Linked DNA regions of Astyanax mexicanus. Each later gene encodes a partner of the first gene's protein in a complex. Links are inferred from orthologs where the notes say so. Each region holds a gene or a part of one and is shown on either strand. Other genes may lie near its edges.

Region 1 (7,341 bases):
TCCATGTACTCACTTTGCTAATGTTCATTGCCAATGGTTTAATGCAGTTCTACATGTATTTTGTAAGGATGGTGTAAAAAAAAAAAACATGGTTAAAATATATGGTATAATGTCCATGTGTTTCACAGGAGAGGTACAAAAGAGCTGTTGCTGACTCTGACAATGTCCGTAGAAGAACACAGAAGTTTGTCGAGGACGCCAAGCTCTTTGGTAAAGTTAAATGTGTTTTATAGGCATTATAGACTACATGTTTTTTCATAATTACAAATTACAGGTTTTCTCACTTGGTTTAGATACAGTCGATCAGCCTAAACATATTTGTTGTCCAAATTAAAATTAGCACTTAAAACTCACAAATCTTTTTTTTAATATATATTTATTGCAGAACGAAAATATAGTTGCGCCTTGCTATTGACTGGTGAAAGTTTATTAGCAACATTACTGGTAACCATGTAGATCAAGTGTACAGTGTATACATATTTAGGTTAGAATTATACATGATAGATTTTAACATAATCAGAATTATTTTGTAGTAGTAAATCAGTTATTTTCTAAAATGAATACATTTAAAAAATGTATTTCCTCAACTGCCAGTCAGTGTTAGATCAGTTCTAATTCATACCAATTGAATTATAAAATGACTGTAAAGCTTTTATTACAGCTATTTATAACCACTAATCAGCAGTAGTTTGTTTTGATAATTAATATTTTCTGTCTCTTCTTCAGGGATTCAAAGTTTTTGTCGGGACCTAGTTGAAGTAGCTGACATGTTGGAGAAAACTACAGGGAGCACAGAGACAACCAGTCTGACTGAAAACCTGGCCCAAATCCAGGGAAGACTACAAGAAGTTTTCACCAAACATGGACTGGAGAAGATGGAACCTGTGGGGTCCACGTATGACCCTTATCAGCATGAGATAGTGTGCCACACTCCAGCAGAAGGAGTGGAGCCCGGTATTATAGCCGTAGTCAAGCAGGACGGGTACAAACTTCATGGGCGCACTATTCGTCATGCGCATGTGGGCATCGCTGTAAAAACCCAGGAGTCTTGATGACCGGTGTGGTTTTTTTTATACTACCCCGACTTGAAGCTCTTGGAACAGTGCATGACTGATCTATATATGCGCACACTGTTCAGCCATAATATTGACACCACAGACAGATGAAGTGAATAACATTGATTATATTATTGCAGTGACACCTATCATGGGGTGAGAGTTACACATTAGACAACAAGCGAACAGTCAGTTTTTGAAGTTAATCTGTTGGAACTGAGAAAAAGGGCTGTGCATAGGGAAGGAAGGCCAGGCCAGGTTTAGGTTCAATACCACAGATGAGCTACTACAGCACAGATTGCTTCGAAGGTTAATGCTGGTTATGTCTTGTGAAGTCCATACCCAACAAACACAGTATTAGGCAGGTGGATTTAATATTATGGCTTATTGGTGTTTCAGCTAATTCAGTCCCTGATATGATGGTTTATTTGTTTCGTTTTTTGCAGTGTTAAATACCTATGTGTTCTTGTTTATTGCCATGTACAGATTTATGTTTTTGTCTTTATTTAAAACATTCTGTAATTTTGTTTGTTTGTTTATTTTTTCCCCCTTTTACTATTTTTTTCTTTGATTTTGTAATGAGCGTTTTTGGGAAGTCAACACTGATACAAAACTGTATTTATATGTATAAGATGATTCAACCACAATGTAATACAACTGTATTACACTTCATGGTACCTTAATTTTCAGAACTATAATACCTCATTGAACCTTGTGATTGGGAGGTATTGTGTTTGTTTGGGACCCTGTTACGTTTACAACATATTCTCTAGCAGTACAATGTGCAATCCAAATGTCTTTGTACTGTAACTTCTGAGGTTAGCATTCTGAAGGCATTACATAGAGTGAGAGGATGGCCTGAAAAGCCTCTTTGTAAAGGTTTACTTAATAGTGGTCACACTATTACTGACATACTGACAATTTTGGGATGTGTCATGTTTTGTGCCTTAATGTTAGATCAGCAGTGCCCAAAGAGCAGACTCTATTTAACATATTCTAATATTATAAAAAAATATATGTCAGAAAAATATAGCGTTAGTGCACCTTACATTGTACATATAAAGTGCATATCACAAAAGAGAAACTTGTCACTTTCTACAGTGTTAGATATTTTTATATATATAAATAATTTAAGTTATAGAAAGTGAATTGTAATATTATGTGTATATATATATATATCTCCTCACAGCCATGTGTCTAGTTTTTTCTTGTAGTGTGCGGACACTGAGAACTCAGATGCCTATAGGAAATGTATGTGTTTAGTTGTGTAGTATGTGGCATGTTCAGTACAGCATTACTTTTGCTTTTTGTTGTTTCATTAAAACAGCTGAAACGTTATCCTTGTAATTTTTAGCTGTTTTATCTTTAAAATCTCCCAAAGGTTTTTTTTTTTTTTTTTTTTTTTACTATTTTCAAATTTGATATACAAGTTTAATGTTTGTTTCAAATATTTATCAGATCATCCAGGAATACTCTTACTCTAAAGTCTGTAGTCTTAAATGTAATGTGCCATTTTGTATTGCTAAAGTGTTCTTAATTTTAGTGGTATTGAAAAGGCTTAAATTTCCCCATAACTGCAGGAATATTTGGTGTTGTGGGTAAAAAGTTCAACATATTAAAGAAAATAAACGAAAATAAAAACATATTTACATAAACTGTAAATCCAGATTTAGCTAATATTGCTAATCTTATGTCTCAGTTTAATATATTAAATATTTTTTATGAAGTGAGAGCAGTCATAGTTTATAAATGTTTAATTATTATGATTTAATATTGTTATTACACCATGTTACTATGAATAGAGTTACAGGATACAATAAAGTTTTGACAGGTGTAAACACGTATGCTGTAAATAAGATCTAACTTTAAGAGGCTGGATGCAGCAGAAACAGCATTTCAGCTTGTTGTAGTCAGGTTGTATTTATCAGTGCTGATAACAGATGATAATTCAAAGTCACAGAGAAACAGTCATCCTGGTAACTATACCACAAACATTGTGCTCAACGACCGATTTAAATATTTAGGGATCAATAATTAGTGCTTGATGGCTAAGAGCAAGAATTTAATTGGTTTAATTGATTGGATGATTGACATGTCTGCAGCATTACCCATATACATTGCTATAAAAAGCAAAACCAGAGAAATTGATTTTGAAACTGAAGTGGTCTCTTTATTTGTTTCAAATATTAATTATATAATATTTTGACAGTTGATCTCTGTTGTACGATTGGCTGATGGACGAAATGATTGACAGTATCCTCGCTTATTCGCCACGCCCTTTGATTCTTTGGCCTGCATTTACATGTACTACGCATAGACATAATACACATATATGCCGCATATTGGAGCTGATTATCAGCGGGGCCGCCATATTGGATGGGTCTCCCATGCGCCCCAAGTGCCTTTGTATTGAGGAAGGTTTTTAATACAACTATAATAATCACAACTCTAGCCATTTTTACCCGATTTTCACACGGTTGGTTTGTTACATACTGCAGAGATGTAGTTATGATTCAGACACACATTACAAATACCTGCTTTTAAGCTGAAATACGTTGTATTATGCTCTTTAACAAAGACATACGTGGTATGGAATATTAATGTGTATAAATAAGTGTATTAATGAATTAATTTGATATTTTAATGAAGAAAAAAGTTTTATTGTTAATTTGAAATGGGAATAAAACATAAATACACACATACATACACATAAAGTATCTATCTATCTATCTATCTATCTACACAGACCCAACCAATATGGCGGCGATGCTTCAGCCCATGATGAGGTGTCTATGTATATTATGTCTACATTTATTTTTTTTATTGTGGATTTTCTTGCTCTTTTTGAATTGATCTTTTTTTAGAAGTGAAGAGGTTGGGTGAGGAAATCCCCTTTAAAAACGGATATATATTTTATTTTTTTTTGATGTCCCTTTATTTAACCATACAAATTTTACAGTAATTTTAATTATAATTTTAGGTACATTTTATATTAACAAAACTAAGTGTATTGATGTTTTGAAGCTTTTAGATTTTGTTTGAATCCCACTTTTCTTTTTTATGTTTGTTTAGGTTTGTTTATCTGTGTTTTTGTTTTTATGTGCTTGAGTTGTTGGTTGTATATAATGTGTATTTGACCTAATATTGTATCTGTTTTAGGCTGTTGAGTTGTATTGTATACAACATTAATTAAACAAAAATGTTTATTATGTCTATGGTACTTCGGTAACTCCAGGTTCAGTCCTCCGTTCACTAGGGGCGGTCATGAACAGAAACTGAGTGCAGGCTGGCGACAGAGCGGAAGGGTCTCTGGTGGCAGTAACGCAGCTCCAACACGTGTGTTTGTGCTGCTGCGCGGCGAAACACTGCATTAAAAACCCAATAAACAGTTTATCTGCCGTTATTTCACAGTGTTAAATATGACGAAGATAAAGAAGGAGAAGAGCGCAACTGAGGAAGAGGCTGGAGCCACAGAGAGATCCTACCAGGATTTAATAGCCAATATAAACCCCATCGCGAACCCTTTAGCCTCGAGAAAACTCAGCAAAAAGCTTTATAAATGCGTCAAAAAAGGTGAGAACAGCAAACAAACATTCTATTTTCAGTCCCCAAAAGCTAACAGACGTATATAACACTTATAAAAAGAACGAGACAGATCCTGAGTGATCCTGTAATGTGTAATTTTTTATTTTGTTTTGCAGCGGCCAAGCTGAAACAGATTCGCCGGGGAGTTAAAGAAGTGCAGAAGTTCATAAACAAAGGAGAGACTGGGTAAAATACAGATTATTTTAATCTAAAGTCAATCTCAGTCACTTCTGATACTCCTAACTCATAACTGACAAGCTATTCATACATTTTAAACCCATAAGAGCCCAGACCAATTTCTGAATATTGATCATTTTTAAAATTGAATTTGATAAATTGAATTTGCAGCTCTTTCATGTAACTTAAAGGACACAACAACAATTTACTCACTTATTGTTTTCTTCTTGAAGTCAGGTCAGAACTAGTTCTATGAAAAGCAAAACATTTTATTTAAGCCTTTAAACTGTTGAAATGCTTGGAACAGAAAATGCATTGTATAAATGAGCTATTTTTGTCTCCAGCCCTATCCCATTTCTCCTGTATTTTGTAAATAAGATCAGAAAAAGTAACATCCATTCACCCACTATTCTGCAATGTGTGTCACATAGGGACTTCTTGAGTTAAAATGATGGACCGGGTGCTTTAAGGAACTTTACTCATACGTAACCATGTGCTCTTTTGGCTCAATAGCAAGGAATTAAAGTGTGACTGTAGAAGGTGGGTTCACTCCATTTTAGATCCTGGAGTTCTCACTGTTCTGCAAAATTCCCAAAACAAGAAAACCTTGCATTGGCTGGGTAATTGTGCCAAGGGTCAGTGTTCGACCACAAAGTGTTTAAAAATAGATTAGGTTTTTCTCTTAAACAAGACTGACAATACCTGACTCTACCTATTTTTTTTTACAAAAACAGTTGATCTGTGCGCTCTGTTTACTCTCTGGAGGAGTAGATGCTACTTTTTTCCAAAAACATATGACAGTTGCCATAGACATTTATTAAAAAATGTGATAATTTATTATACAGTTGAGCAGTAAAACCAACCAAAAGCCTTAATTCTAAATGAAAATGTGAAAACATGAATGAAAAATACAGAAAAGTTAGTTTAAATTAATTAGCCACAAGTTGTAGCACATTTCTAGCCATCTTTATGGAAAATTTTGGTGACTAAAATGCAAATAAAAAAAAACTAATTAAATTCTAACATTAAACAATTATGGAATATTTATAGACTACAGCCTTCATTACCCTGCTAAAGAAATCGTGGAGATTAGTATAGTGAAGGTAGCCACCACCTTGGAAGCTATTAAATAAACAATTTTCTGAGGACTGTTAAAGAAATAACATTTGCGACTTTTGTTTTCTGTCCTTTTCAGGATTGTGGTGCTTGCTGGAGATACACTTCCGATTGATGTTTACTGCCACTTGCCAGTCATGTGTGAGGACAGAAACCTTCCTTATGCTTATATTCCCTCAAAAGTGGTGAGTGTGACCATGTTGGGTGTACAGTTTATGATGTATTTTAAGCTTAACAAATTACTTAGCAACTTGATAAACAACTATTGATATATGACTGTGATGCTCTTTGCAATAGTTTGTGACACACCTGCCTTTCATTTCATCTGCAGGATTTGGGTTCCTCGGCTGGTTCAAAGCGTCCCACCTGTGTGATCATGATCAAACCTCACGATGAATACAAGGAGTCTTATGATGAGTGTCTGGAGGAAGTCTCTGCCCTCCCCAAACCCCTCTGAGTGTGTGCTTGTCTGCATTGGTGTCATTTGAACATTTATTGCCTTATGTTGATGTTTGGCAGCACAGTTGTAAATGTGCTGTGTGGCCTGGCATCCTGATGGGCCTCACAGCTTTATGGACATTTTGTAATACCAGCAATCCCAGGAATTGCCATTCAGCTGAAAGAATGACCATATGATTTTCATGTTTCTTTTGAAACCTGTTGACTGTATTTTGTGTACTGGTGTTAAAAACAGACAGCTACTTTATGTAGTTTTTCCAGAAATGTTGCATTTTGCTTTCATTCTTTATTTTGACTCTAAAGGATATGTTTGTGTTGAGATATCTGAACTATTTTGAAGTAAAATCTATGAAATGATTTCAACAGTGTCAGTTTTATTTGTTCTGAAATAAGTCATTCACACTAACACACATACTGAGTATTTTATTTGCAGAATATGCTCTTAAAATAATAGTAAAATAAAAATAGTGAGTTTTCACAGATTCTTGATTCTCATATTAAGTTCAGGGCTTTTGACTTGGTCATTGTATGACATTGGTCTTTTCAGTGTTTTCCAGTCATTCATGTATAGAAATATGCAAACATTGAGCAACACTTTAGCAGCTGTTGTTCTTAATAATGGGATAAGTCTACACTAAAAAAATGAATAAAACCAGGATAAAATATTTGAAAGAATTTAGTACACAAAACTCAAGTCAACTCTCAAACTATGGACACTTTGTTCACTTAATGTACAGGTGCTGGTCAACGAATTAGAATAATTTGAAATAGTGCAATCATGAAATTCTTTGAATGCATTTTTTGTGCAGAAAGCAAATCAGGTGTTCACCGCACCTGTCCTACTCGTTAGACTAATCACAGAACTCGTTACCTGGAAAAAAATTTGCTCAGCTGAGCTTTCCAAAAGGCCCATTTAGGCCATTTAACTGTGACACTGTTGTTTTATTGA
Region 2 (7,840 bases), on another chromosome or scaffold:
CTTCCCATCCGCAGGAAGTGCTTCACCTGGGACAGGAAGGTCAGGAGGTTGTGCTCAGAGCCCCAGAGCTGGTCTGGAATGACGTAGCGTAGGACCTCCCTGACGAACAGGTACACCCTGTAGGCGGAGCAGTGGGAGACCAGCAGCGACAACATGTCCTCCTTGCCCTTGCCACCTGAGCACTTCTTACGCAGAAAGTGAGCATAGGGGCATTTTCTGTGTTTCTTTATTAACTGGCTGAAGATGGGCACCATGCTGAAGAAGCGTCTTGGAAGCTTCTGGGGCTTTGGTTCTGCTCCAGACAAGTAGGTGTTTCCCTGGAGGAAAATAATCCTTACAAGCTCCGCCCCTTGCAGGTGTTTAGGCCCGCCCACTCCACCCCGGACCTTCCTGTTAAGCAGAAAACCCTTCATGCCACGGCCACAATAGAGCATGCTCAGTACCCGGATGAAGCAGTGGGAGGGGCACGAAGGCGGTTGGTCACTTGGCTTCCAGCTGGACACACCCTGCATGGAGGCGTGGCCTGTCGAGGCTGGCTCCACCTTTTCTGGTTTCTGAGATTCTGTCTTAGCTGTCTCTATGGGATCTAAAAGACAGACGTTACTCTGTTCTTCATTGTCTACACATTTCCTTTTGGCCTGACTACGTTCGTCCTTCGCTTGTTCTCCTTCTTCTACTTCATTATCATCATTTTCTTCTTCTTTCTTTCTCTTTTTGGTGTTTTCAGTGTTGGAGTTTTCTATGTCAGTGTTCACTCTTGTACTACATGCTTTAGGCTGGTTCTCTTCAGTGGGTAAGTCTGTTTTTCTAGCATGATGCCTAATTTTCCTTGTTTTGCGAGTCCTAACCTTGGTTCCACTGGTAGAACCATCTGTTTCAATCCGTTCTTTTTCATTCTTTCTCTTGCTTCTGCTCACAGTAGTTCTGTTCTTCAGATCTCTTCCCTGGTCACTCCTTTTCCAGGTGACAGGTGGACCAGATGTGAGAAAAAACCCACACCAGCTACGTACAGGTACCATGTCATACAGAGGCACGCCACAGAGCTGCACCAGGCAGGAAGGGGGTGCTGTAACGAAGACAGCACACTCCTGCAGCAGGAACTTGGTGACTTCGGTACCCAGTCGCTGGTTTATCTTGGCCCAAAGCTCACTGCCGCTGATAAAGGCCGCACTCTGGGAAAGGGAGCCGTGGAACTTGAAGGGGTCCCAGTTCCCCTGGCGGTCGCTGTAGTGATAACCGAAGTTCAGGACATTCCTCCTCTTCTTCCTCTTCATGTGGTTCAGCACAAATGCCAACACCTCGGGCAGCGTGGCCAACTGGGAGAACAGGAAGTGAGATGGAATTTAACAACTTTTTACAAACATTTTATATCGTCTTTATAGAGCATGTACAGTACCAGTCAAAAGTTTGGACACGTCTTCTCATTTAATATTTTTTATATTTTTTCCTACATAGTAAATGAATATTGAAGTGATCTACGAAGCATGATGAAGTATTTAGATACTCTTATCTGAGGAGCTGTTTGTTAACTTGTGGTTTCTGAGGCTGGAAACTCTGATTAACTTATCCTGTACAACAGAGGAAACTCTCACTCTTCCTTTACTGAAGTGGTCCTGATGAGTACCAGTTCCATCAATAAAATGTTTTTGATGGTCTTTCCTTTAACTACATTTGAGGATACTCTCAAAATTCTTCTTTTTAGATTGACTGACCTTCATTTTATCGTACAGTATTTTTTTTTCTTTATTTAGTTGAGTAGTTGTTGCTTCTCATAATCTGGATTCGAACATTACTCAAATATTCACTATTCACTGTATACCTGTAACTCTACCTCTTCACTACTTTACTTTAACTGATGCTCTCAAACTTTACATTAAGAGACAAGAAATTCAAGTAATTAACTCTTGATGAGTTCAGCACAGCTGTTAACTGAAAGCATGAATTCCAGGAGACTCTACCTCATAAAACTGACTGAGAAAATCCAGCAGAGATGTTCAAAACTGATCATCTAAACAAGAGGAGATACTTTAAAGAATCTAAAATATAAAACATATTCTGGGTTGTTTAACACTTTTCTTTATTAAACAATTCAGTATATTTTATGTAGTATTAGAGTTTACACACTAAGCGATGTCCGTAAGATGAGGTTAAATAATGGTTGTTTCTCCATCATCAGCATTAAAGAAGCACTAAAGCTAAAAACTTATTGCATGTTTTCTGTTACCAGGGAAACCAGCAGCAGGAGGAGCTTAACTTCAACCACATGGCCCACACGTTGCCAGGCAACATATAAACTTCCGCATACGTCACTGAAGACTCAGAGAGAGGGTAAACCCAGCCACGTGTGAGCCTGGGCGATTCAGGTATCAGTAAACACAGTGAATTTACCTGTGCGCGGCTGGCGGCGCGCGGGAGGCGCGAGTCCGTGCACACCACGAGTCCCCGCATGAGACCGGCGAGGCGCGCGGGGTCCGTGTCCCGCAGCAGCGCCGCCCCGCGGCCATCCGGGTACTGCACGCTGTCCGCGAACTGCTGCAGCGTCCTCACCGACCCGTACACTCCCTGCAGCAGCGTGCACGCGCCCTGCACCCCGCTCATCTCAGCCCGCGTGCAGATCACTCCCAGATCACTCCTCACTTCATATACCGCCGCGCGCTCACCTCACCAACCACAGCTCCGCATCAACCCAGCGCTCAGTACCCGGATCACAATCAACACACAACGTGATTGGACAAGAGCTCGAGATCCCTTAAAGGCACAGAGGCACTGTGGCCACTTTATCGGAAACAACTACCTACTTTGCGCCTCTGGCCACTTTATCGGAAACAACTACCTATACGGTCTTTCTAGCCAGTTTATCAGATATGCTTACCTTGTCCTTCTGGCCCCTTTATCAGAAACACATACTTATCCTGTATTTTGGCCAAATTATCGGAAACACCTGCCTACCGACCTTGTCTTTCTGGCCACTTTATTACATATAACATCCATATATAACACTAAACCTACTGTTTTGACTTACTGGACACTTTATAGGTTGGTTGGTAGGTTGGTTGGTTGGTTGGTTGAGTTTAACGCCACATCAGCTCATCAGCTATTTCGTGGCAGGATAGGTATTGTTTATTCACAAGGTTCTATGATCTCGTCCTTAGATGTGGACTCTCAGTTTGGTAATAGTTAAAAAGTTCAGTACTTTGTTTGCATTGTCTTTGTTGAAAATGTCCATTAGTGTATCTGACAGGCAGATTTTTTGTTTTGTAGGTAAGTATTTTGGGCATTCGGTTAATATATGTTTTACAGTAATAGTTCGTTGGCACACATCACAATGTGGGGGTCTTTCGCCCTTCAGTAAAAAGTAGTGCGTCAGTCTGGTGTGGCCAATGCGGCATCTTGAGTAAATAACTTGATCCCATCTATTGTCTATATACGCGTTGGTAAAATGATCTATTTTGGGGTTGAGCTCGTACAGTTTGCTGTTTGTTTGGGTGTTCCATTCGTCTTGCCACTTCTCTTTGATGTATTTGTGAATTAGGGGCATTATATCTGTTGGTGGGAGTTTGCAGTTCGCTGTTTCGGCCTTTGATGTTCTTCTTGCTACCTGGTCTGCTTTTTCATTTCCAGTGAAGCCACTATGTCCTGGTATCCAGCAGAATTTTATATTAATATTTTCATTTGAAAGGTTGTGTAATCTATTCAGAATGGACACTTTATAGGAAACACCTACCTACCTCATGATTCATTGGTCACTCATTATTAACACAAATCAAAAACTAAGGACTTGTTTATTAAAAAAAACAACTTTATTATGATACAGCTGTACATTAGCCCCGCCCACAAAATGCCAGATACAAATGATACAAATAAAATAAACTTTACATTACTATGAAATAACAATCTGTTAAATTACAGAAACCTAATACTCTCAGTGTGCTCCTCATTAATCAAAGAGTAATCGATCAGCCAAGTTCTGATCAAAGCTAACGTAGCTAACAAGTCCTGGAATCTTCTAAAGAGTAAGTTAGCACTGGAGCGGTGAGGCTAACATAGCCAAAAAGTAATGGAAGCTTATACCCCACTAATTAGCATGTTTAAATATTCGTACACTGCGTTATATTTTAGGCTGTAGGTTATCTAAAACATGGAATAAATTATGTTAGCAGTGTTTATTAATTCCACAGTCTAATGATTAAGTTGTTTGTTAGCCACATTAGCCTCGTTAGCTGTACTGTAAAGCTAAAGTCTGGGCTGATGAATATGTATGTAGTAAACAGGGTAATCAGTTTAAGTGTGTTTTATTGTAAAATTGTGAGTCTGGCGTTTAGACCGTTAGCAGCTCCGCGGGCGGCGGTCTGAGGGGAATCTGACCCAGTGTGAATCGCTTAGCGCTGAACTCCCTCAGCTCATCCGGGGTGAGTTCACTCTGAGGGGTGAACAGGTTTTCTCCAGAAGCTGCACCAGCCGCTGGACCCCCACCGAACCCGCCGGCACCGGCCGAGCTAAACAGACTGCCGCCCCCTGCTGGAGCGGCGGATCCGAAGCCGCCCCCTGCTGGAGCGGAGGAGCCGAAGCCGCCCCCTGCTGGAGCTGTAGAGGAGGTGAAGCTGAACCCGGAGGCGGATCCGAAACCTCCAGAAGAACTCTTGCTCGCCACCGGAGAAGCGAAGGAGAAGGAAGAAGCTGTAGGAGTGGAGGAAGGAGCAGGCGAACCAAACCCACCAAACCCGGTGGAACTGGGCTGGGAACCTGTCGATCCAAACCCGGTGGAACTGGACTCGGAATTGGGCATTGTAAACCCGGGGCTGGCTGGAGCAAAGCTAAATCCACTTGCACCGTTTTGAGGGGCGCTGGATCCAAAACCTGAAAAAAATATATATTAAAGCTTAGCACTAGTGAGGTACATTTATGATTAGAATAGCATTATTGAAGTAAATGTATTATGGTAGCATATGGTAGTATGGTATGGTAGTATGGTATTATGGTAGCATTTATGATTAGAATAGCATTATTGAAGTAAATGTATTATGGTAGCATTTGTAAATGTAAAATTACAGTACCATTAGGTACCTGTACGTTTGTAGTAAAATTACTGAAGTAATTGTATGATCATAGTAGCATTTCTGAGGTAAATGTATAATTATAGTGGCATTTCTGAGGTAAATGTAGGATTATAGTAGCATTACTGAGATAAATTTATGATTATAGTAGCATTAATGAGGTAAATGTCTGGTTATAGTAGCATTACTGAGATAAATTCATGATTATAGTAGCATTAATGAGGTAAATGTCTGGTTATAGTAGCATTACTGAGGTAAATATGTGGTTATAGTAGCATTACTGAGGTAAGCGTATAATTATAGTAGCATTTCTGAGGTAAATGTACAATTATAGTGGCATTTCTCAGGTAAATGTATGATTATTGTAGCATTACTGAGGTAAATGTATGATTGTAGTGGCATTACTGAGGTAAATATATAATTATAGTAGCATTACTGAGGTAAATATAGGGTTATAGTAGCTTTACAGAGGTAAATGTATGCGTTCAGTTGTATTACTGAGGTAAATATATGATTATAGTAGCATTACTGAGGTAAATGTATGATTGTAGTGGCATTACTGAGGTAAATATATAATTATAGTAGCATTACTGAGGTAAATATAGGGTTATAGTAGCTTTACAGAGGTAAATGTATGCGTTCAGTTGTATTACTGAGGTAAATATATGATTATAGTAGAATTACTGAGGTAAATGTATGATAATAATGGAATTGCTAAGGTAAATCTATGAATATAATAGTTCTACTGAGGTAAATGTATAATCAGAATAGAACGGCTGAGGTTAATGTATAATGACAGTAGCATTACTGAAGTAAACATATGATTATAATACCATTACTGAGGTAAATCTATAATTATAATAGCATTTCTGAGGTAAATGTATGATTATAATAGCATTTCTGGGGTAAATATATGATTATAGTAGCAATTCTGAGGTCAGTGTATAATATAGTTGCATTACTAAGGCAATTTAATGATTATAGTAGCAATACTGAAGTAAATGTAAGATTATAGTAGCATTACTAAGGGAAATTCATCTGTGGACTCACCACCTGATCCGAATCCAGGTGCTGATGATGACAATGATGATGAAGATGAACCGAACCCTGACGATGGAGAGGAGAAGCCTCCACCCGAAGATCCCGGATTGTTCAGCTCTGATATCTGCAGAACAAACACAGATCAGACACCACCACTAATAATGGGTGTAGAAACCAGGAGATGTTTGATGGGTGGATGTATAGAGTGTAACTTGTAGAAAAGATTGTATTTGGTTCTGCAGGGTTCCTCACCATGGTGGTGCGGGTGGAGGAGCTCATGGTCCTTAGCTCCTGCACTCTGGACCTCCACTGATTGGCCAGCTGCTGTACGGAGTTCGCCTGGAACACACAGCACACGTCAGATCATCACATCTACACTACTGAACTACAGCTCCACCCGAACCACAGCTCCACCCGAACCACAGCTCCACCCAAACCACAGCTCCACCCAAACGACAGCTTCACCCGAACCACAGCTCCACTCAAACTACAGCTCCACCCAAACCACAGCTCCACTCAAACTACAGCTCCACCCGAAATAGTGCTTTCTGAACTACAGCTCCACCCGAACCACAGCTCCACCCGAACCACAGCTCCACCCGAACCACAGCTCCACCCGAACCACAGCTCCACTCAAACTACAGCTTCACCCAAACCACAGCTCCACCCGAACCACAGCTCCACCCAAACCACAGCTCCACTCAAACTACAGCTCCACCCGAAATAGTGCTTTCTGAACTACTGCTCCACCCAAACCACAGCTCCACCCAAACCACAGCTCCACCCAAACCACAGCTCCACCCAAACCACAGCTCCACCCAAACGACAGCTTCACCCAAACCACAGCTCCACTCAAACTACAGCTCCACCCGAAATAGTGCTTTCTGAACTACTGCTCCACCCAAACCACAGCTCCACCCAAACCACAGCTCCATCCAAACTACAGTTCCACCTGAACTTTAGCTTCGCCTCAACTACAACTCCTTCTGAATTTACAGCTCCACCCGAACCACTGCTCCACACAAACTAGTGCTGTCTCTGAACTACAGCTCTTCTGAACCACTGCTCCACCCAAACTACAGCTTCACCCAAAACCACAGCTCCACTCGAACCACAGCTTCACCTGAACCTCAGCTCAGACCAAACTACAGCTCCACCCAAACTACAGCTTCACCCAAACTACAGCTCCACCCAAACTACAGCTTCACCCAAAACCACAGCTCCACCTGAACCCCAGCTCAGACCGAACTACCCAGTCTGTACTTACGTAAGACTGTAGATCTCCAGAAGCTCTGCTGGTGTAGTACTCCATCCTCAACTCCTCGGGAGAGAGCTCCACAAACCCTACACACACACACACACACACACACACACACAAACATATACACACAAATATATATATATATATATATTGTTATATCAAAGTATCAGGATATTTTGTATTTTTTTTATTAGCTGTATTTTGGTTTTAAATTAGTGTCACAATATACTGATATGCTGAAGATCAGCATGCAGCTGTAATGTATATACAGTACCAAGTTCACAGTTTTAAAATGTTCTGTACTATAGATTAAAACTAAAATCATCCAAACTATGACGAAAAACATATGAAATTATTTAATAAACAAAAATGTGATTAATAAACCAGTATATATTTTATATTTTACATTCTTCAAAGTATCTCCTCTTGTTTAGATGATCGGTTTTACACATCTCTGCTGGATTTTTCATATATAATTAATATT
Region 3 (7,283 bases), on another chromosome or scaffold:
TACTGGAAATATATTGGCAAGGAAGTTGGTTGTTATGAGCTTATGCAGTGTTTGTGCTAAGCTAATATTGTTTACCCAACTGAACAACTCAACTCAGCAGTCACAAATACATTTTAGGGTAACCTGCTTTCCTTCTATAATATTGACACCAACAATAAACACTTAATTCAGTGAGGGGAATAAGGTCAAAGAGGGGCTGTGCTGAGTCATAAACAGTTTGAGCTGCTATTATTTGGGTTGTGGGTCATTCTTAGCACAGCAGTGACACTGGAGTGGTAGTGTCATAGATAACATGTCCACCTGGGTTGAACACTGCACATGGGGCCTAGATGGGACCTGTATGAAATTAAGATGGGTTGTAATGATTGTGCTAGTACGAGTGGATCCGACAGAGCAGACTCTTGATTTATTTATTTATTTATATGTATTTGCTATCTTTCTCCAGTTTTTCTGAAAGTGGCGGTTTACACACGGTTGCCTCATCTGTCACAGCTTTTCATACAATCACGCTCATAACGCAGCGATGTGGGCTTCACGAGGCAGTGCTGCGAGCAGGTGGGTGACAGGCAGTGATCAGCGTTCGTTTGTTTCTCTTCATCACGTTTAAGACTGATAAAACACACAGCGACTCAGTGAGTCACGAAGACAAACAGCTGAATCACAGCCTGGCTCAGGTAATGACGACTATAAAGGAAACGCGTTCGAGCCAGATTGACGTATTTAAATAATGAACTGGTTTGTTACCAGTCATGGGAACAGCTTCTGCCTCGTTAGATTAGTCAGATCTTCCCACAAATCCAAACTCAACTTGAGTACAAGTACAAGCAATTGGGAGAAAAGAGTTTATTTAGGTTAATCACTCATCTGCATGTCCATTTTTGTATGAAACAAACAGGGTAAGTTTCTGAGACAAGCATTTATACTGATAATGGAAAATCTCCATTCAAAATATTGTGCAGTCCAAAATTGGCTTAATCCCTGACTAGAAAACTAACCCATTGTGTTTAGATGCAATATAATGAGGGCAGCTGGTGATCTACATGGGATATTTGAAGCAGAGGAAGGTTTTAAACAGTAAATACTGAGTTGAAGTCACACCTGAAATTGAGTCCTTGGTTTATTATAAGTGTCAACACAAAGTACAGGTGTGAACAGGTGTATTCAGTAGGCCTATGTCTCGAGGTGCATCATAATGCCATCACGTAGAGACATTTATGACCACATTAGCCAAGTTCCGATATCCCACTGGACACTGTCCACACAGGTTAGCAGGTAACACTACAGTAACAAGCTAATGGATAAAGTTGATACTCATGGCAGCAACACAAGCTTAACTAGCAGCCTAATCTGAATTTAAACTGAGGACTCCCTCTGAATAAAATTTGAATTCTCTTACTATAACTAATCTCTCTTCTAGCATAAATTATGTGAGAAATTTGTGACAGGATCACCCATGGCGTGTGTAAATGGAGTCTTGGAGGGTGAGGACAATACATGCCTCCTCTGATATGATATGAATTCAGACTTCATCCAGCCAACATGTTCGGAGGAAAGCGTTGGATCCTCTCTTCTGATACATCTGCCAACAGACACCTGTGCTGGCTAGCATCACATTGAGGATGATGGAGGAGAGAGCGCCACCTACTGTACCCACCCAGAGACAGCATAGACAAATGTACTCTCTCAGACTCCGGCTGCTGATGGCAAGTCTTTTTAGCTCAGCTAACATTACTATACTAGCTCTGTACAGCTTGTATCTTTTAGCGGGAAAACAGCCAGCGGTTGTAAACTGACACAGAGTGTGTTAATTGCTGCTGAACGCTTTATTTTGTTATATGAGAATGGTGTAAAAATTAACATGAACCTAACATTTATCAGCTAAACTTCTGAACAGCACAGTAAATGCATGTATATACAGGTTACATGGTCCCACTATATCATGTGGTTTCCTCAATATGCTCTATGATAACTCACAGCCTTGGTGTATATACAGCGTATATGTATGGCTGGCTTTGAGCCGCTGTGAGTAGACGTTCAGAGCTTTTCGCCCACAGATCATGACATTCACCCCTAGCCGTTAGGGATGCTCTTCAGAGACCCGCTCAACATTCGGCACGCCCCAGTCTGAGACGGACCCATTTAGCCTTAGTCACGCAGTCTGGATTTATCCTCTAAACGGAGGAAGAACTACAGCCCAATACTCAATACCCAGCAATACCACCAACCAGACCTATCTCTCTCTCACTCTCCCTCTCTTTTTCCATCTCTCTCTCTCTCCCTCTCCCTCTCTCTTTTTCCCTCCCTCTCTCTACCCCCTTTTTTTCCACCCCCCCCTCTCTCTTATTCTCTCTTCACATTTCTCTCTCTCTCTTTCCATCCCCCTCTCTTTTTCTCATTCTCTTTCTTCACATTTCTCTCTCCCTTTTTTCCCATCCCCCTCTCTCTCATTCTCTCTCCCTCTCTTTCTCCCCCTTTTTTTCTATCTCTCTATCTCTCTCATTCTCTCTGTCTTCACAGCTTTCTTTCTTTCTCTCGGTTTCTCTCATCAAATCTCTCTCCTACTCTCTCTTTAATTCTTTTTCCATCTCCCCCTCTCTCTTTTCACATCTCTCTCATTCTTTCTTTTCACATCTTTCTCCCTCTTTTTTCATCCCTTCTCATTTCTTTCTCTCTCTTCATAACTATCTATGTCTCTCTCTCACTCTCTCTTCACAGCTTCATCTGTCTCTCATTCTCTTTCTCGTCACAGCCTTTTCTCTCCTCATAATCTCAGCTTTGTCTCCCTTCGTCTCCCTTTCTCTCTCTCTCTCTCTGTCTCTCTCTCTCTCTTGCCATCACTCCATCCTGTGTACAGAGTGTGTTCGTGTTCCCACGCAGGACGCTGACAGCTGCCCGAGGCGCCAGCAGAAAAACTGACAGCTCAAAAACACAGAAGAAGAAAAAGAAGAAGACGGAGAGGAACACAACTACTGCTATTTACAGATGTGGTCTACTTGTGTGTGTGTGTGTGTGTGTCAGTCCATCTCTCCTGACTGCAGTTTAGAAGCAGCTGCTTCACCCCCTGAGAGTACAGCAACTACAGCCTCACGTCAGTGGAACACTGCTGCCCCCTGCTGGAGAAACACATACACATATATACACATACACAGAAAATATTAGAATATCATTAAAATTACTTAATTTCAGTAATTTGGTTTAAAATGTGATACTCATATGTTATAAATGAAGACCCAAAAGTTAGTACGTCAGAAAATTATAATATTATATAAGACCAATTGGTACTTTTGGCAATGTGGGCAGTGTGATGCTGGAAAACCATTGAACATCAGTAAGTTTTGCATTTCATTTGGAAATCAAGGGACCAGAGTTTAGAGAAAGAGCGGAGAAGCACACAGTTCAGTGATGTTCTGTAGAGCCACATCTGCTGGTGTTAGTCCACTGTGTTATATCAAGTTCAAAGTCAGTGCAGTGTTTTCCCAGAAAATCTTACAGCACTTCTTGCTTCCCTCTGTTGACAACTTTTATGTAGATGTGGATTTCATTTTCCAGCAGGACTTGGTACACTGCCCACAATGTCAAAGGTGCCAACAGGTCTTATATAATGTTCTAAATTTCTGAGATACTGACTTTTGGGTCTTCATTTATAATATTTTGAACCAAATTACTGAAATAAAGTTAATTTTCGGAAAAATAATCTAATATTTTCTGTGGTTTTCATTGGCTGTAAGCCATAATTACAACAATAAAATAAATAAATGCCTAAAATAAATCGCTCTGTATATAATATAAAATAAATTATAATTCTGCATGTGTTCCTGTATAACTTGAATATTTTTTATAAATTATTTACAATGCAAATTTATAGTATGGAGAAACAACACATCAACAAAACATGATTTAAATATATGATGAATGATAAATGATAATAATAAACGGATAAAATAATACATAATTATATATTATCATTTTATTATTATTCTTTACTGAGGGAAATATATCCGGAGGGTAGAGATACGGGACAAATCCAATGATTAAAAAGTGTAAACAGTGCTTGATATTAGACCACAGAAATGACAAAACAAAATACATAAATACCAACACAAATTTCCCCATATTTTACCTCCTTTTTTCTCCCCCTCTTTTCCCCTTTGTCACTACCCCTCTCCGCTGAGTTCACTTTTTTTAAGTAAAATATATGTACTTATTTATTTAAGTTAAGAACTGTAACAGTGCCCCCTGCCGGACACCACTATACTCTGAAGTTGTAGTTATAGGTTTACGACACTCTGTGTTGCTTAGCGGTAGCGGCGGTTCCCACGTGCGTGCCGGGAGAAAGAGCAGCGCGAGGAGTGCAGTTCAGTTTTTTACAGTTTTCGGTTTAATTTTACTCGGATTCTTCCTCCCCGCGAGTCTTTGAGCTTCAGCTGCTTCTGCCCGGGTTCAGGTGAGTCTAGCAGCGGGGAAAATCAGAAGCTGAGAGAGCGTGTCCGAAAATCCGGATTAAACTCCGTGTTTAGCTGAGATTTACTACATTCAACAGTTTAATACTGAAGTTTTAATCCGGATTCACGCATTTTAGTGGCAGCGGTTCTTATTTAAAATGCGTGTTTAGAGTGATTAGAGCTGTAGGTTAACGTTAGCTTGGTGTAGCACTTTGATCCGAAACCCGGCAAATCGTGCACCATTTAGCTGGTTAGCTATTTTCCTGCCACGCTCTCTGTAGACTGTTCATAAGTTTTTAAGTATTATTCTTTTAGCATGCAATAGAACTTGTACTGGTTTTATTAGTTAATATCTTTAAGTAGTACGTTTGATTATGTGAAGCTATTGAATCCTTTAATCATTAATTTATTAAATATCCTTTTTTTTAAACATGGTTGACTGATGTGTCGTTTTGAAGATATATAATGTAACTAATATTCGAAACAATACATTTCCTCCCTACTGATATTGAATAGAAAACGTTTTAATGTGTGTTATTAAGTAGATCGTTATATAATGCTTGAGTTTTGCTAAATTAGGTTAACTAACGTGGAAAAACGTGGGTCTTTTAAAGCAGGCGTTGTCCATGGCTGCCGAAAGGGTCCTTGAGACGCAGTATCTGGTATGGTTCACAATTCGATGCAACACCATCGCGATAACTCTCTTAACCATTCAAACTCCTGTAACAATTCAAACTCTTAAAGCGCGTGGGTCTCGTCTGCCCTTGTTCAATCGGAGAAATATAAAGCGAAGTATTTAACTCGGATCAGGGATTAGTTTTCTTTAGTGTGGGGTGAAAGGGAAGAAGAAAGGGCGACAGACGTCGCCATGTGTTGCCGCTAACATGCCATTTTATTTACTACGTAAACCCGCCCGTGGTCTTACACTTGTCTCTGTCTTTTATATGAATATTGATAACCTGCTTAATGTTAAAATTGAGGTAAATCCTTAGAATGACGTGTAATTACTGTGTTTTCTTCTGCTTGGTTGCACAGTATTATGTTGCACAACTACTTTTACAGGTTTGCGCTTTTAGAGTTAGTCATTTCTGTATTGTACTGTGCAAATGAGTGTATATATCCTAGATTTTTAGCTCTTTTTTACCTGTTTGGTATCATTTTATGTTTGACTTCTCTGATTTACCTTTATAATCTAATAAAATAGTATTTCTTATTATTTCATGTGAGTGAGTAGACTATGTCGCTGTGTATGAGACAAATACACTTTCAAAATACTGCTCTGGAAAAATTGAGACCGCTTCAGTTTCTGTATCAGTTTATCTGATTTTGCTATTTATAGGTATATGTTTGAGTAAAATGAATGTTGTTGTTTTATTCTATAAACTACAATTTCTCCCAAATTCCAAACAATATGCCATTTACAGCATTTATTTGCAGAAAATAAGAAATAACTAAAATCAGAAAAAAGATGCAGAGCGTTCAGACCTCAAATAATGCAAAGAAAACAAGTTAATATTCATAAGATTCATTTTAAGAGTTCAGAAATCAATGTTTGGAGGAATAACCGTGGTTTTTAATCACAGTTTTCATGCATCTTGGCATGTTCTCCTCCACCAGTCTTACACACTGCTTTTGGAAAACTTTATGCCACTCCTAGTGCAAAAATTCTAGCAGTTCAGTTTGGTTTGTTGGCTTGTGATCACCCATCTACCTCTTGATTATATTCCAGAGGAAACTTGTCATTTAAAAGTGGTCTCTTATTTTTTCCAGAGATGTCTATTTAACCCTCTATGGCTTAGTGTTGCCTGCATGCAACAAACCAACTTTCTGTTTTTTGGTTATTATACCTTTCCATACCATACTTTACATATTGATTTACTTACCTATTACTTACTTACTATTTATCTTTAATATAATGCTACTTGGCATATCATTGTCCAATACAGTGAGGCAAAGCAGTGAGTCATAAATAAAAATATGTATATGTTTAATGCTGGGTGGTAGGACAAAGTACATCATGGTATTTTTTATTTTTTTTTAAGATTTTAATGGTTTTTACGGTATGTCACGGTGTTATTATTATTTATTAAGCGTTTTTTGCATTACTGGGCTTGTGCTAAATAAATGATTCTGTACCTAGGACCAATTCTGGGCTTGTCTGGGGGAGCAACTTTCCCCCCAAGCTGTGGCTCAATCGTGTAATTCCATTCCTCACTTTTCTGAGTAAATATTTGTTTATATCTGTTTGCTGCTGCTTTTCTATTTTACTCGGATAAAAATACTCAAACAGTGAGGAACAGTAGCAGGAGCTCCTCAGATAAAGTGCTGTTATGTAAAAATTCTGCATCAGAGGGGAAGGTATACCGGATAAACCGATATACCGCCCAACACTATGCCGCAAACACACTTTTTTTCCCGTTTTTGTTCCAAGAAGATCCAAAAAGATGGTAGTCTCAGTATGAAAATTATTTCAAGCACTAGGAGGCGAAATTGCTAAACAAAGTAAATTCAGTCAAACTGTCTTTTTTTTTTTTTTTTTTTTAAATATACTCTGTTTTTAGGTTTGAATTCCTGAGTATGTCTTTCCGTGGAGGCGGTGGCCGAGGTGGTCGTGGTGGTGGTGGCGGTGGCTTTGGAAGAGGAGGAGGAGGTGGAGGAGGAGGCTTTGGGAGAGGTGGTGGTGGTGGTGGAGGAGGCTGGAGAGGAGGAGGAGGCGGTGGCGGTAGAGGAGGTGGACGAGGAGGAGGAAGAGGCGGCTTCAACAGATACCAGGATTTTGGTCCTCCAGACCACGTAGTCGGTAAAGACGATGATTAAGACCTAGTTTATTTTCTGTACTTA

The links. The genes of interacting proteins can lie anywhere in the genome.
Region 2: nhp2 (region 1) and tert share a complex: the UniProt entries of both Homo sapiens proteins name them as parts of the telomerase holoenzyme complex. The link is inferred for Astyanax mexicanus from reciprocal best matches to the Homo sapiens genes NHP2 and TERT.
Region 3: nhp2 (region 1) and gar1 share a complex: the UniProt entries of both Homo sapiens proteins name them as parts of the H/ACA small nucleolar ribonucleoprotein (H/ACA snoRNP) complex. The link is inferred for Astyanax mexicanus from reciprocal best matches to the Homo sapiens genes NHP2 and GAR1.

Annotation. Positions count from the first base shown.
Region 1 is NC_064424.1:10,696,703-10,704,043, forward strand, and holds nhp2 (H/ACA ribonucleoprotein complex subunit 2-like protein), read left to right. Parts: upstream 1-4,293; 5' UTR 4,294-4,474; coding exon 4,475-4,628; intron 4,629-4,756; coding exon 4,757-4,826; intron 4,827-6,012; coding exon 6,013-6,118; intron 6,119-6,264; coding exon 6,265-6,390; 3' UTR 6,391-6,749; downstream 6,750-7,341. Other genes in the region: grpel2 (grpE protein homolog 2, mitochondrial), read left to right, coding at 129-210, 727-1,052. UniProt on the Homo sapiens protein: Required for ribosome biogenesis and telomere maintenance. Part of the H/ACA small nucleolar ribonucleoprotein (H/ACA snoRNP) complex, which catalyzes pseudouridylation of rRNA.
Region 2 is NW_026040049.1:365,247-373,086, forward strand, and holds the start of tert (telomerase reverse transcriptase), read right to left. Parts: upstream 3,007-7,840; 5' UTR 2,599-3,006; coding exon 2,389-2,598; intron 1,317-2,388; coding exon 1-1,316. Other genes in the region: nucleoporin NUP42, read right to left, coding at 4,319-4,857, 6,105-6,219, 6,348-6,434, 7,363-7,439. UniProt on the Homo sapiens protein: Telomerase is a ribonucleoprotein enzyme essential for the replication of chromosome termini in most eukaryotes. Active in progenitor and cancer cells. Inactive, or very low activity, in normal somatic cells.
Region 3 is NC_064417.1:31,158,013-31,165,295, reverse strand, and holds the start of gar1 (H/ACA ribonucleoprotein complex subunit 1), read left to right. Parts: upstream 1-4,277; 5' UTR 4,278-4,444; intron 4,445-7,003; 5' UTR 7,004-7,019; coding exon 7,020-7,242; intron 7,243-7,283. UniProt on the Homo sapiens protein: Required for ribosome biogenesis and telomere maintenance. Part of the H/ACA small nucleolar ribonucleoprotein (H/ACA snoRNP) complex, which catalyzes pseudouridylation of rRNA.